Styela clava: one gene and its partner. The main gene of each other region encodes a partner of the protein of the gene in region 2 in a complex. Links are inferred from orthologs where the notes say so. Each region holds a gene or a part of one and is shown on either strand. Other genes may lie near its edges.

The links. Proteins that work in one complex are often made in the same cells at the same time.
Region 1: DNA-directed RNA polymerase III subunit RPC2-like (region 2) and DNA-directed RNA polymerase III subunit RPC6-like share a complex: the UniProt entries of both Drosophila melanogaster proteins name them as parts of the RNA polymerase III (Pol III) complex. The link is inferred for Styela clava from reciprocal best matches to the Drosophila melanogaster genes Polr3B and Polr3F.

What each region holds. Positions count from the first base shown.
Region 1 is NC_135251.1:26,464,005-26,472,019, reverse strand, and holds the start of DNA-directed RNA polymerase III subunit RPC6-like, read right to left. Parts: upstream 3,033-8,015; 5' UTR 2,944-3,032; coding exon 2,891-2,943; intron 2,563-2,890; coding exon 2,445-2,562; intron 2,119-2,444; coding exon 2,051-2,118; intron 1,429-2,050; coding exon 1,248-1,428; intron 499-1,247; coding exon 334-498; intron 1-333. Other genes in the region: histone-lysine N-methyltransferase EZH2-like, read right to left, coding at 4,110-6,377; dnaJ homolog subfamily C member 8-like, read right to left, coding at 6,962-7,699. UniProt on the Drosophila melanogaster protein: DNA-dependent RNA polymerase catalyzes the transcription of DNA into RNA using the four ribonucleoside triphosphates as substrates. Specific peripheric component of RNA polymerase III which synthesizes small RNAs, such as 5S rRNA and tRNAs.
Region 2 is NC_135255.1:15,753,143-15,761,156, forward strand, and holds the start of DNA-directed RNA polymerase III subunit RPC2-like, read left to right. Parts: upstream 1-4,998; 5' UTR 4,999-5,053; coding exon 5,054-5,230; intron 5,231-5,930; coding exon 5,931-6,278; intron 6,279-6,552; coding exon 6,553-6,790; intron 6,791-7,704; coding exon 7,705-7,931; intron 7,932-8,014. UniProt on the Drosophila melanogaster protein: DNA-dependent RNA polymerase catalyzes the transcription of DNA into RNA using the four ribonucleoside triphosphates as substrates. Second largest core component of RNA polymerase III which synthesizes small RNAs, such as 5S rRNA and tRNAs.

The DNA.
Region 1 (8,015 bases), on a different chromosome or scaffold from region 2:
TCACTAAAGCATTCGTTCGCTTGAAAGGAGGAATTTATCAAAGTAAATATCCATGAAAGTGTTACCGTTGATTTGACTACACCGAGCATGGGTTGCAGATAGTACACCAGATGCAATATTTAAATAACTGGCAAATGCAGTAATTTTACCCTTCATTAATTTTTGAAATTTTCTTACTCCAAACCTTTCCAAAATATATGTCCATATAACATATGACATTCACAAGGTATTGAGTACAAGACAAATAACAAAAATGTACACTGCAGAAATATAGTACCACCATAAGATAGGCCTAGTTATTCAGTGTACGAATAATATGAAGTGGTCCCAAACCTCACTTGCAGCGCTCTCCTCTTTTTGTTGAAGAAATTTGTAACATTGTTGATTCAAAACATCAACGAATTCGGATTCAAAATCTTGTCCAGAATACCATGCTCCACCAGTTATTGAACTATCAGGTTCAAGATTGAAAAGCATGTATACTTTCTTTTTAGAAGCCTGAATAAAAATTGAATGAAATTACTACTGTTTGAAATACATATTTATTAAAATAAAAATTTAGGACATAATAAAAAATAAAAATGTTTATTGAAGAATCCCATAACAATCCTACCAACTGAAAGCAGAATTAGTCGCTTGTACTAGTCATGAGTTGAATATGTAAACAAGTCAACAATCAGGATGGATCGTATTTTCAAATCTATCTTTATAGGAAATACAGACGAAGACACTCAAATATACCACGATCTACAGCCTCCAGTTACCAGACCACTGGACCAGGTTTCTTTATGGGAATGTTTTAAAATCACTTTCTTAGATGCTAGCTAGAGAAAGCTGTAAATAACTGGCATAGAGTCCAAAATCCACTCACAGATTTCATAATCAGAAGCACACTGGCAACATGACAGACCTTGGTTATCAGTTATCGACTAGAGATAATTTAGTTTCAGTAAAAATATTGTTGTTCACCTGCTTCTAGATTGATCTCGTTACAATAAACGTGACCAAAGCTGGGCAGGAAATTAATATAGCGATATTTTATTAAACATGCTGTAACCATTTAGATAGCAACACCATGGTGCAAAATCGCAGCCAAAATTGACAAGTTTTACACGATACCAGATTTTTATTACAAAATTCCACCATTCAAATAAGTTTGCTATGACAGATACAACCTGGAATAAGAATAGTCACAGATTGCAGTATTAGGACGTCTCAACAAAAATACAAGACTGCAATGAAAATACCGTGACAGATTTGACAGCTTTGATCAATTTCCTGTTTTCTAAATTCTTCAATATTTTGTTAACTTCCGTCAACATTAAATTACATCTGTGTCGAATATCTCGAATCCATATTCCTTTATTACCAGCACTTTCTATAACTTGATACACAAGTTTATCTTGATTGTCAATTCCTTTGATTTGGCTGTAATTAGTAGAAATGTCTCCCATTAATATTATGCCATGGCAGTAAATCCAAAGTAGCTAATGTCATATTTTCAAAAAAGGACTCTTTGATCCTTTTGACTAGGGGCCATCGTCTGTGGCGAATTTACTTTTAGTTTATTCAGAATCTTGCCAAAAAAGTGAAAAGGCTATTGTCCACCTGCTTCTAGATTGATCTCATTACAATAAACGTGACCAAAGCTGGGCAGGAAATCAATATAGCGAAATTTTATTAAACATGCTGTAACCATTATGATAGCAACACCATGGTGCAAAATCGCAATCAAAATTGGCCAGTTTTACACAATAACAGATTTTTATGACAAAATTCCACTATTCGACAACAAAATGATTCTTGTCAATTCCTCTTTTCCAGCTGTTTGATACTATGGTAATACATATATGTCATACAAAGCAAATAGATTGAACTTGTGTATAATGTTAGTATAATGGGTGACTATATGAACTCTAGACCCATGTTTCGTCACAAACCACGCAAATGGGGAAATCATGTCATAAAAGTTAACAAAACATATATGATCCAAAACCAAGCACAATGTGGATGCAGAATAATTTTCATTACAATCCAACACTCTAGATACCTTGCTCCGGTTGTACATTTCAATCTGTATATCAATCCAGAAGTTCCTTTCAGAAGTTCTATCTTTCCCTGAAAACCCAAGTACAGAACATTTAAGATATATTTAAGAAATCTCCAACAGGTGGGCGAATTTTGTTTTAGTGTAGTTAGAATCTTGGCAAGAAAATCATTGTCCACCTGCTTCTAGATTGATCTCATTACAATAAACATGACCAAAGCTGGGCAGGAAATTAATATAGCGAAATTTTATTAAACATGCTGTTACTATTATGTTAGCAACACCATGGTGCAAAATCGCAATCGAATTGACCGACACATTCACAAATAATTAATGAAATTTTATATTAACAAAAATTATACTGAATACTACAATGTTATATTTAAAACAAACCAACCATTGTAAGCAACTTGTTGATTGCAGCAACTCTTTCCTTTGAGTCAATTTGAGGTTCTTTCTTCTGAATGAACTCATCACCGATTCCTTTAGGATATTCAGCACACATTGCCAATATTCTAGACAGAAATATAACACTCAACTCAAATTTTATTAATCATTGATAACCATGCACAGAAGAAATATATGGTTATAATCAGGAATGACGAAAATTATCGAAAACCGCATTATTTGCAGAATAATTAGCAGTATCTGTCACTTATTCTTGAGTGAATAATGGTGTCAAGCCGCCAACAACAATGCATTAGAATGTTGTTGTGATTTAAGATCATAGTCTGCTCAATGAAATCAACTCAATATGTTCTTTGAACTGGTATAAACATACCACTACCATACTATGAATTTCAGAGATCCTGTTGACAATAACTCTAAATAAAGAAGTACTACCTGTCTTCCAATGGCAGTCCACTACCCTCTTGCATAGTGACTTCCATTGCCATGATGAATGAAGTTGTCTATAAAATTATTTTATACATACATAGCCTATGTAGTTCAGTCCATGTCAGATATTAAACTAAAAAGTACAAAACCATTGCAATTGATATAGAACAGATGTTTCAATAAACCAATAAATCTGATTATGCTGGATTTCTATGATGATCATAAAGGTTTCTGGAATCAAGTGATGTGCATTTATTTTATAGACAACAGTATTGGTCAAACATTTAGATTTTATGATTTAAAAATATGATGACAGTCACAAGGTATCACAACAAGCAGATTCAAACAACATATAGATTATAATGTCTGGCACAACAACAAAAAAATGCAGTAGCTAAATAAAGAAATTATGAATAAGTTTCAGCAGCAAATGATGCAAAAGAGACAGCAGAGTCCAGTGGTGCAGCCAGGGGGTTTTCGGGGCCTGAGTTGCCATGGAACACATTATAATAAGTTGGAACTATACCATAGTCACTGAAGATAAAACAGTCAATTATGCATGCCATCAGTTAATAAATTATCGTCAGGGCCACACTCAATTTTTTTTGGATTATGCTGATACTGATGTTCAATCAATTTTTTATTGTACTAACATAAACTGTACTGCAATTTTATCACAGATTTTGTGATTTTATTATCAGCAATAACAAATTTGCGTGGTCGCAAAAATATGAATCCAAAGTAAAATCTAATTGTAGAATTCATATCACATTTTTATATCCACTGATTGCCATGGTATTTTAGAGTTCAAATACAATGTTATTTCTATGTGAAACGATGCAACCGCAAGATACGTTAACCACAATTTTAATGAGTAGCATAATCGCATCAATTGTTTCCTCATGCGTTACATGGGTATTTCTGACTCCGACCCCGCCCCACCCCCCCCCCCCCCACTCTACGCTGCAAAATCCTGACTGTGCCCCTGGGGATGTCTACTGCATCCTCAATTTATAAAACGAAAAGCCAACGCAATAATGCATTGGCAAAATAGGGACCACGTCAAACAAAATAAATATGTGTAAAGAAAACATTCCATACTAGTGCTTTCAATTGCCTGATTCAATAAGTGAATCGCAGTGTGAGCAATCAGAATAGTCTACAAAACTCCTAACTGTTATACTTATTTACAGTAGTAGCCTATTATAATGATTCTCAAATAGTTTTAGGAAACTTCCATCTCTCTTTCTATTCCAACATATTTTACTGCATCAGATTGACTGTAGCTGTAGTCGAAGAACAATTCCTCTCCTGCTTGTATCGGGCAATTTGAGAAAATTCCAATACGATGATCACCATTTACCATCATCACTTTAGCATAGCAATTAGGATGAACGGAATGATTGGCAAATCTAATTTTGTTTCCTTTACGAGTGGCATCCACAACAAAATCATTATTGAGATTAAACAGAAAGCTACACATGTATTTATCGTAAACTTTTCCACGACGATCTGCCTCATCCTGAGATATAATTTCTCCGCAATATTCAGAAATGAATTCATTTTTGTTGGGCACATCTTCTTTTATATAAATTCCCCATCCGGCAACATCAGATGGAGCCAAAAGTAGATGCTTATGGAGACCTCTTTGTATTGAAACATTCTTACAAGAACATTTACTTGCATTTGTGCCGAGCTGGTCAGCACCACAAAGAGAGCAGAGGTCTGGATCACACTCTCTCACTGCAAGATAACATGGGCATTGCTTGGTGTTACATTGAGCTTTACAACGACATCCTGGAAAGCGATTATGACAATCAGACGGACATTGGCAATACTTTTCGCAAAAATTTCCAACCATAATGCATTGACAATTGCTGTCGCAAGGCTGTCCTGGATGATTACAAGGCTGGTAATTGTAAACATGATTGCTGGACGAATCTCGTTTCAGTTGTATTCTTCTAGCATGGAGAGACCAAAGTCTGTGCTTCCTTTTTTTCTTTCTGGGAGAAGCTGAATCTCTCAAATCATGTTCATGTGGATGAGGTTGTGAACCGCTGTCATGTTGCGAGCGTGTAGCTTCAAGTAATGCAAAGGCATAAACTTCTTGGCAAGATTTAGTTTTAATAAGTTTCGAAATCGAACAAAAATTGTTTGGGTAATTTGTTCTTAATACCCGATACAGAGTTGACTCTGCTCCATCCCATATAGTTTTAGTCAAATTTTCAGGAACGAGTTCAAGAAATGATGTCATTGATTGTGTTGTAGGTAGTTTTTCAGTATCTGTCGCATCTGTATCCATCTCACTCTCACTTGGGGCAGGGGTACTAGGTCGACTTCCACTGCTGCTCCCACTTCTTCCTTCGCCTTTAAGCTGAGATTTCTTCTTTGACAATCCTCTCTGCAAATGTCTGTGAGGTTTCTCTGATATTTCACGATAATCTTGTGCACCTTCAAGGTGTTGGAAACAATCAGCACCACAAGGTTCTGTAGGTGTTCTAACATCTTGAGTTTTTCGTTTACTCGTTTTAATAGGTGGTCTATAAAGATGACTGTGTTGAAAACAATCATATTTGTAACAGCGTCTGCAAAATAATTCATGAAAAGAATGCAATGCTTGCTCCCTTTGTACTGATTTAGCATTTGCACCATCGATATTGGGAGTGCATTCAGGAGGTTGTGCATCGGGATCCATCAATTCAGTCAGCTCCTTATATTTATCTTTTAAATCTTCACCTGAACCTTTATCAGGAAAATAATCAGCAATAGCATCAAATATTTCATCTGCAGGAAATGTGTTTGTACCAGAAGCAGATGACGAGTCTGAATTTTTATTTTGCTCCGCATCTGCAGTTTCCTTCTCTTTCGCTGGATCTGCATCTTCATTGCTTGATTCGCTTGTAGTGTTGTCTTGTGATGCTTCATTTGCAGCACTATCAGTTCTGTAACGACTTCTCAAAGGACGACGTTTACGACTGATATTATATTTATTCAGTGCATCAACAAGATCAACAAATAATTCATCACTTAGAAAACCACCTTCTCTGTCCCCATGCACTTTACCATCATAATTCATAATCAACTCTTCTAAAAAACTTCCATCTTTATCCAAAGCTTCGTCCCCCATATATGGAATGTTATGTAGAATTGTTTCATCTTCAACCATGAAATCCTGTTGAACTGGGACCCATGTATAATAAACAGGAAGACTTGGCACAGCTTGCAGTGTACATAAAGGAACAGACTGATCACGGAAAGCATGAACACTACTTTTCACTGTACAGCATCGAAGGAATGGTCTATTTGTAAAAACCGGTTCTGAATCTGGTTGTTGTACTTTGTACTTTTCATTTGTTTGTTCCAATTTTGAAATTCTTTCGTTCAATTTTACTCTGTTATTTATGAAAGCTTGTTTAATTTTGTCACTACGTTGATATCTCTTCGCCGATCTAAGCGTGATGTATTCACTTCGTACAATTTTTTTCCAATCCATTTTGTTCTTAACTAATTAACTAAGCAGTGACACAAGCTGAAAATAACAAAGAAGCATAGTTCAATAAACTTTAAAAAATAAGCTAATATAGCCGCATACCTGTCAAGTGAGACAAAATAACAAAATAAACGGAAAATTACTACTAATATAATCTTGGTGAAAAACAATTTGTGTCACAATGCAGTACTATTTAAATTTTCCAATTTGATTTTTTTTTGCTGAAAAATATATGCTTTTCAATTCACCAAATTCTTATTACAAATACATAGAACAATCCATAAATTCCATCTTAATAACATTGACAGATTATTGAAAACCATACCCATATAAAAACTGTTTCAATAATAATATTCTAAATGAAACATAATTTAAAATTAGTGGGGACTCATTCACTACTGTAAAGTTTGACCCCAATTGGGAGAAACAAAATGATGATTCTATGTCAATGCATAATACTATAGCCTAGTACACAGGTTTCACAATCAATTCTAATTTTCAAGATTATTTCGATATGATGTGAAACAAAAGACAATTGAAGTTTTAGAGATATAAGTTTGATGAATATAACTATAATGAGAGGAAAATCATCTTTCTTCCATTCTGACTTTCGGAGGTTTGAAAGGTGCCCTCGTGTCTTTTTTCTTCTTCTTTTTATCCTTCTTAAAATTTTGCCAACTGGAAACTCTACCTTGACGACTTTCCTCAAAGTTTTTATCCCATTCTTTCTGCTGCTTCGCTTTTTCTTTTTCCTCAGCTTCTTGTTGCGCTTTCCTTTTTCTTTCATTCATTTCTCGAGTTTCCATCTCTTTACGAACAATCGCCATGTCAGCAAAAAGTTTACAAGTTTCTTTGTGTAGTTCTGATTCATAAACATGCGGATCATCTTCTGGTATTTCAGCAGGTTTTCCTTCCTTTTTCAATTTCTTCCTTTTTTCTTTCAATTTCGTTTCAAGTCGTACTTTTGCATCTGAAACTACACCTAAACATTTTTCTCTTTCTTTATCATCATTTAGTAATTCCCATGCTTTTTTGACAGCATCAAATGACTTTTGTGCGAGCTCTTTTTGTTCTAAATTTTTATCTGGATGAACAAGTATAGATAAGCGTCTGAATTTCTTCTTAACATCTGGTAGAGGAGTTTCTGGCGTAACTTGTAGAACATCATATGGATTAAGATTAAAATAAGTTGATCCAGGTCGATTTAAACGATCAATCTGTTGTTTTGGTGTTAGTACTGAATCCGCGGCTTCAATTCTTTTCACTTCGGACATATATGTATTGAATGCATCTTCAGCCTTTGGATCAGAACTGGTTGAAGCCATGATTAAGATTGAAATTCACCTATTTACAACATTAGCTGAAAATGTAATTGAATCATTAGGTTTTAACTTGCTGACTTAACCAATCACAGAATCAAATAAATCTCAAACAAAAAGCATGGTCCAGATGAAGTTAGGAATTACACCAAAATATAGTTGATAGTACTGTCACACTGCAGTACATGCATCATGTTGAATTCTTTTAGAGAAATATAGCATATACAGATATAGGTGAGGCGACTTCGACACAAAATTCCCCACATAATTATGTCTGTATGTGTAGAATATTTAAAATTGAAATAAATTACTTGATAGATGG
Region 2 (8,014 bases):
CCTATGCTTACCGCGTTCATTATAGACTCGGCTGAAAGTAAAATAGACACCACGAAAGAGAATATTGCCTCATATCTTCTCCCGTTTTTATTGAATCTCGGAAAGTATGAAGGAAACATTTCCATTCTTCAAAAATGCTTTATTAGGCAAACGGATGTGACAAGCTGTGGCGTATGTGTCTGTATGGCAGTGGACATGATTTGTTCGGACTTCAAAAATGACCTTGGCCTTGTCTCCCCAGACATATTTCGAAGTTGGATGATGTATGCAATTTGTCTTGGATCTAAAAAACTACATCCGAAAGTACATGCCATATTCAATACTGTATTTCGTAGAGATAGAGAGATAATTGACTAAGTAGTGAAAACAAATAAACGTTTTGGTTCAATTTATACTTATCTTTGAAAACTAAAGAAGTTGACGTAATTTTTGTGAATTTTTTTTATTAGGTTACATTTTTTTGCCAATATTCATAGGTATTTCGTTAAATATATGTGCCAATTCGTAGCATACAATTGATTCGCGTGTTTCAATACTTACGGGCTGTATAGTAGGAATTCGGCATGTTCTCACTGGATCTGGAAGCTTAATATTAAACTGTAAGATTTTGAATTCGATCGTTAAAGTCATAATTTCAGACATTCAATGGTGATAATGGAAGTCAAAAAAGCATCAAGCTTCCTAAGCGTTTTCTAACAATTAATTAATGAAGGCTAACATGCGCTAAAAATTTTGTTATCAAAATCGGATTTTTCTAGAGTTCGGAGCTGTAGTCGGGGTCAAAATTGTTTGCAAACCCGAGTCTAGAGTCGGAGTCATTTCTTTTTTCAATTCGGATTCGAATGTAAATGGCCGTGAAGTGGAACGCCGCAACTATTTCACTGTTACGAAAGCACATGGGTTATTTCTTCGGATACTGTTCATCTCTACTAATCAATGATTTGTACTTCTTTTTCGTTCATGTTGCATGTATACCGGAACAACGTAACAATTTTTGTGCGCAGCCATTTTGCGAAAATAAAATCACCAGTTCAGCTTATAATGCAATGCTGCAAAATTCTTGTTTTGTCTCACCTGAAATGAAAGTAAATCGAATTGTAAATTATCTGTGACTATTTAAATTTTAAATATAATTTAACCATGAAAAAGCGAAGACATTATCCAGTATATAAACATATTATTTCAACGCAATCAAACATAATGGAGAGATTGTTCCTATACATGTGGGGTTGCAAGTAACCAAGCTGATAAAAAGAACAGTGATTAGAGTTTCTCCCGGACAAACATAAAAGCTCATGGATTTGCGTAGAATTTCTCTTATAGACTACTTTCAGCTAATATATACTATGTAGGTGAGTATCGGTGATGGGTCGATTTATACCATGGCATGCATGTCTCTCAATAACAACACTATTCTGATTTTGAGCCCCAAAGGCAAATCTTGGGTCAATTTAACGATTTTTCGAATTTCTAAGAAATTTACGTTATTGCGCTATATTAAAAGTATTTTGTTAGAAAACTGATCGAGTTTTTTTCCAATTTCTTTATTCCATTGGAAAGATGATGAATTCAAATATCCATACTCAAAATATTTTTTAAGCCCCAAAGGCAGATCTTGTTCAAATTTTGGGTCAATTTAACGATTTTTCGAATTTCTAAGAAATTTACGTTATTGCGCTATATTAAAAGCATTTTGTTAGAAAACTGATCGAATTTTTTTCCAAATCCTTTATTCCATTGGAAAGATGATGAATTCAAATATGCATACTCAAAATATTTTTTAAGCCCCAAAGGCAGATCTTGTTCAAATTTTGGGTCAATTTCACGATTTTTCGAATTTCTAAGAAATTTACGTTATTGCGTTATATTAAAAGTATTTTGCTAGAAAACTGATCGAGTTTTTTTCCAATTTCTTTATTCCATTGGAAAGATGATGAATTCAAATATCCATACTCAAAATATTTTTTAAGCCCCAAAGGCAGATCTTGTTCAAATTTTGGGTCAATTTAACGATTTTTCGAATTTCTAAAAAATTTACGTTATTGCGCTATATTAAAAGTATTTTGTTAGAAAACTGATCGAGTTTTTTTCCAATTTCTTTATTCCATTGGAAAGATGATGAATTCAAATATGCATACTCAAAATATTTTTTAAGCCCCAAAGGCAGATCTTGTTCAAATTTTGGGTCAATTTAACAATTTTTCGAATTTCTAAGAAATTTACGTTATTGCGCTATATTAAAAGTATTTTGTTAGAAAACTGATCGAGTTTTTTTCCAATTTCTTTATTCCATTGGAAAGATGATGAATTCAAATATCCATACTCAAAATATTTTTTAAGCCCCAAAGGCAGATCTCGTTCAAATTTTGGGTCAATTTAACGATTTTTCGAATTTCTAAGAAATTTACGTTATTGCGCTATATTAAAAGCATTTTGTTAGAAAACTGATCGAATTTTTTTTCAAATCCTTTATTCCATTGGAAAGATGATGAATTCAAATATGCATACTCAAAATATTTTTTAAGCCCCAAAGGCAGATCTTGTTCAAATTTTGGGTCAATTTCACGATTTTTCGAATTTCTAAGAAATTTACGGTATTGCGCTATATTAAAAGTATTTTGTTAGAAAACTGATCGAGTTTTTTTCCAATTTCTTTATTCCATTGGAAAGATGATGAATTCAAATATGCATACTCAAAATATTTTTTAAGCCCCAAAGGCAGATCTTGTTCAAATTTTGGGTCAATTTAACAATTTTTCGAATTTCTAAGAAATTTACGTTATTGCGCTATATTAAAAGTATTTTGTTAGAAAACTGATCGAGTTTTTTTCCAATTTCTTTATTCCATTGGAAAGATGATGAATTCAAATATCCATACTCAAAATATTTTTTAAGCCCCAAAGGCAGATCTCGTTCAAATTTTGGGTCAATTTAACGATTTTTCGAATTTCTAAGAAATTTACGTTATTGCGCTATATTAAAAGCATTTTGTTAGAAAACTGATCGAATTTTTTTTCAAATCCTTTATTCCATTGGAAAGATGATGAATTCAAATATGCATACTCAAAATATTTTTTAAGCCCCAAAGGCAGATCTTGTTCAAATTTTGGGTCAATTTCACGATTTTTCGAATTTCTAAGAAATTTACGGTATTGCGCTATATTAAAAGTATTTTGTTAGAAAACTGATCGAGTTTTTTTCCAATTTCTTTATTTCATTGAAAAGATGATGAATTCAAATATCCATACTCAAAATATTTTTTAAGCCCCAAAGGCAGATCTTGTTCAAATTTTGGGTCAATTTAACGATTTTTCGAATTTCTAAGAAATTTACGTTATTGCGCTATATTAAAAGTATTTTGTTAGAAAACTGATAGAGTTTTTTTCCAATTTCTTTATTCTATTGGAAAGATGATGAATTCAAATATCCATACTCAAAATATTTTTTAAGCCCCAAAGGCATTTCTTGTTCAAATTTGGGGTCAATTTAACGATTTTTCGAATTTCTAAGAAATTTACGTTATTTCGCTATATTGAAAGTATTTTGTTAGAAAACTGATGGAGTTTTTACCAATTTCTTTATTCTATTGGAAAGATGATGAATTCAAATATCCATACTCAAAATATTTTTTAAGCCCCAAAGGCAGATCTTGTTCAAATTTTGGGTCAATTTAACGATTTTTCGAATTTCTAAGAAATTTACGGTATTGCGCTATATTAAAAGTATTTTGTTAGAAAACTGATCGAGTTTTTTTCAATTTCTTTATTTCATTGGAAAGATGATGAATTCAAATATCCATACTCAAAATATTTTTTAAGCCCCAAAGGCATTTCTTGTTCAAATTTGGGGTCAATTTAACGATTTTTCGAATTTCTAAGAAATTTACGTTATTTCGCTATATTGAAAGTATTTTGTTAGAAAACTGATGGAGTTTTTTACCAATTTCTTTATTCTATTGGAAAGATGATGAATTCAAATATCCCTACTCAAAATATTTTTTGAGCCCCAAAGGCAGATCTTGTTCAAATTTTGGGTCAATTTAACGATTTTTCGAATTTCTAAGAAATTTACGGTATTGCGCTATATTAAAAGTATTTTGTTAGAAAACTGATCGAGTTTTTTTCAATTTCTTTATTTCATTGGAAAGATGATGAATTCAAATATCCATACTCAAAATATTTTTTAAGCCCCAAAGGCAGATCTTGTTCAAATTTTGGGTCAATTTAACGATTTTTCGAATTTCTCAGAAATTTACGTTATTGCGGTATTTTGATCGAGTTTTTTTCAATTTCTTTATGTCATTGGAAAGATGATGAATTCAGATATTCATACTCATAATATTTTTTGAGCCCCAAAGGCAGATCTTGTTCAAATTCTGGGTCAATTTAACGATATTTCGGATTTTAAAGAAATTGACGTTATTGCGTTGTATTAAAAGTATTTTGTTAGAGAACTGATCTTTTTTTTTCGAATTTCTTTATTAGATTGGAAAGATGTCTGAGCTATAAATCCATACCCAAAATTTTTTTAGAGTCCTAAAGGCAGATCTTGTTCATATTTTGGGTCAATTTAACGATTTTTCGAATTTTCAGGAAATTTACGTTGTTGCGTTGTATTGAAATTATTCTGTTAGAAAACTGATCAATTTTTTTGTCAAATTCTTTTTTTGATTGGAAAGATGTCTGAGTTGTAAATCCATACCCAAAATATTTTTTGAGACCCAAAGGCAGATCTTGTTCAAATTTAGTGTCAATTTAACAAACTTTTCATTTTTTCCTCAATAATACGTTATTTTATTTTGATAAATGTAGTTTTTTGTACTTCTCCCTTGATCCCAAATGCTTCGTGTGATTGAATGCTACATAATAACGTTCAATTTGCAATTCTACATCTCTGTGGTTAATAATTAAAAATATTTCGCAAAGTGGAAACACGTTTTTATGACATCGTATATTTTGCTGCGGGATTTTGCTAGCATTTTGCTTATATGACAGTGGCGATAGCACACGGTAGCTTTTGTATTTTCTGTTCCATATATAACAAAGGCCAGAATATGAAGAAAGAGGTTGATAATGAAGACGACGAATATGCGGATTTAAATAAGCCGCTTTCAGATGTGAAAGACAAATGGAAAATATTACCGGCATTTCTCAAAGTGAAAGGCTTGGTGAAGCAACACATCGATTCATTTAATTATTTTATTAACGTGGAGATCAAGAAAATAATGCAGGTTGGTGAAATCTATTATTGATTTTCTACGCGGCGGTGTGGCTCAACGGGCTAAGCGTTAGGAATACGCTCGCTACCGCACCTCTAATTACTCTGCGTGGGTTCGCAGGTTCGAATCCCATGCAGTGATGGTTATGTGCGAGAGGATTGTCCATGCCTCCGAAAACAAACAATATATATATATATATATAACTAATCCCATACCCGACTTGAAATGGTAACCGGACGAGAGGCCGTGGTTCGCCATATGGATAAGCCGTCTTATCGGCTTTCCTCTCCCCCTGGATAAATATGTAAATCCTATCCTATCCATTTCAGTTCAATCTTATTTAGAATATATTTGTTGAAACTTACGGTCTTATCTCCAGTTTAGGGTTAAATATATAAAGTTCTCATGTAAAAATGTTGAAATTATTTTTTTTTTCATTTCGCTGACTGGATGACTCATTGAGTCTTTCGCGACCCTGCGTCAATTGCTGTGAATCAATGTTTTCTATTTATTTTTAGTTCACTATGTTTTACTTTTGCTTTCAATTGATTCTTGCATGACGGGATAAAATATCTGAATCTATCTATTATTTTTATCATTCAACACAATTTAACAAAAACAAATAGGTTAAGTTTATTCGACTTTCTAAATGTTGCAATATTGATTTTGGCTCATTTAAGAATTGCTCATTTGTGAATGTTTTATTTTACAGGCAAATGACAAAGTGCTAAGTGATGCTGATCCAAATTGGTATTTAAAATATCTCGATATTCACGTTGGAAAACCTGACGTGGAAGAAAGTTTCAATGTCACTCGTCCTATTTCACCACACGAGTGCAGGCTTCGAGATCTTACCTACTCTGCTCCGATAACTGTTGATGTTGAATACACAAGAGGGCAGCAGAGAATTATTCGAAAACACCTCCCCATTGGAAGGATGCCAATCATGTTACAAAGTTCAAATTGTGTTTTAGCTGGAAAAAATCCTGTTGAGTTTGCAAAGCTAAATGAATGTCCGTATGATCCAGGCGGTTATTTTGTTTGCAAAGGGGTTGAAAAGGTAAATTAAAAATGAAATGATGGCTGAATATAATTGCTTCACAATTACTAGACTAAGGTTAGGCTACTTTACGAGATAAAGGTGTATCGAGTGAAGTAAAAACTCTGATTAAAATAAAACAAACCTGGTTATATATTGAGAACTGACTTCATAAAAAAATATTGAAATTGCAATATGGCTTCATGAATAGGCTACCTGGCATTATAGCCTATTTATATATGCAATGTATAAAATTAGGAAGCGGTAAATTTCATAATAAAATTTTGAATTTTAGGTCATATTGATTCAAGAACAACTGTCCAAAAACCGAATGATTTGTGAGAAAGATCGAAAGGGTTTGGTGAGTTGTTCCGTGCACAGTTCCACTCACGAGAAAAAGACTCGAGCGACAATTTTGCAAAAGAAGGGAAAATTTTATTTACAACAGAATGCACTGACAGAAGACACTCCTGTTTGTATTATTTTTAAAGCAATGGGTGTTGAAAGTGACCAAGCTATAATGCAACTCATAGGTAAGGCACTAGGTCCAAAATTTTACTGTGGAGTCACGAATGAGTCGGAATGGTCGACATTATATTTTCAAACTTTGTAAATGTGTAACGAAAAAGTATGAACTGAAACATTCCAAGATCTTTATCCACCAATTCTCACAAAAATTTTATTAAGACTTTAGTTGCAGAAATGCTTGTTAATTGAGCTTTTTACATATTTTTACAAATCTTGAAAAATATGCTGATTTCAATTAATTCATGGATGTTAAACTATGGACTATGCATATTGCGCAATTACTTGATTGAATAATCCCATATGCAACCTGGACTGGTAATCGAAGGAAAGTCTTTGCTTCGCCTTGCGACTAATTCATCTCAATCTGAGCCCTTTTCTCTCCTGGTTAAATATTAAAATCATATATTCTTGGACACGAAGTGTATGTGTATATTGTTTCGTTATTATGTTGTTGTTGTTCCTGTTGGTATTTTTTTTCATATAATTATGAAAAAATTGCTTTTCTCAATAATTGCTTTGAATTTTTCAGTGGTTCAAGATTGTATTTTTTGGTAGAAGGTTATTACTTTTCTTATTTTAAAAATTTCTGTGGGCTCTATGGGATTTGTTTTTCGTGTGCGATGACGTCATCAAAAATTGTGCACTTTGTTGCGGTTTTGGGTTCTCAATAGTCGTGAAGACTGTGGTATTGACCTGTACTACTTCGTTCTTGCCTTTGTGTCCATGTTTTTCAGCATCACTTTTTTGTACTTATATAAGTAAATATAATCAGAGTTGGGTACTCCTGAAGTATGTGCACCAAGATGTTGCATAACCTGAACCCTAACCTGGTACACAACCTGATTTCAGGTTGTGTGCCACCTTGGTGCATATACTTCAAGAGGTCCCATAGTTGTTGTTTACATTACCTTTATCCCAGGGACCGATGAGTCCATCATGTCTCTATTTGCATCCTCCATCGAAGAATGTCACAGACTCGAAGTTTTTACTCAACTTCAAGCGACTCGTTATATTGGTCAAAAAATCCGTAGAAATCGTGGCATGTGGGGAGCACCGAGACGATCACGAAACGATGAAGCAAGAGACTGGCTGGCAACAACTTTACTTGCTCATGTGCCTGTTATTGATTGGAATTATCATTGCAAGGTTAGACATGTTTCATATTGGTTTAGTTTTGTAAAGTTGTATCTGTTTTTTACTTGTGATGTTGCAAAAAAGATAAGTTTAAA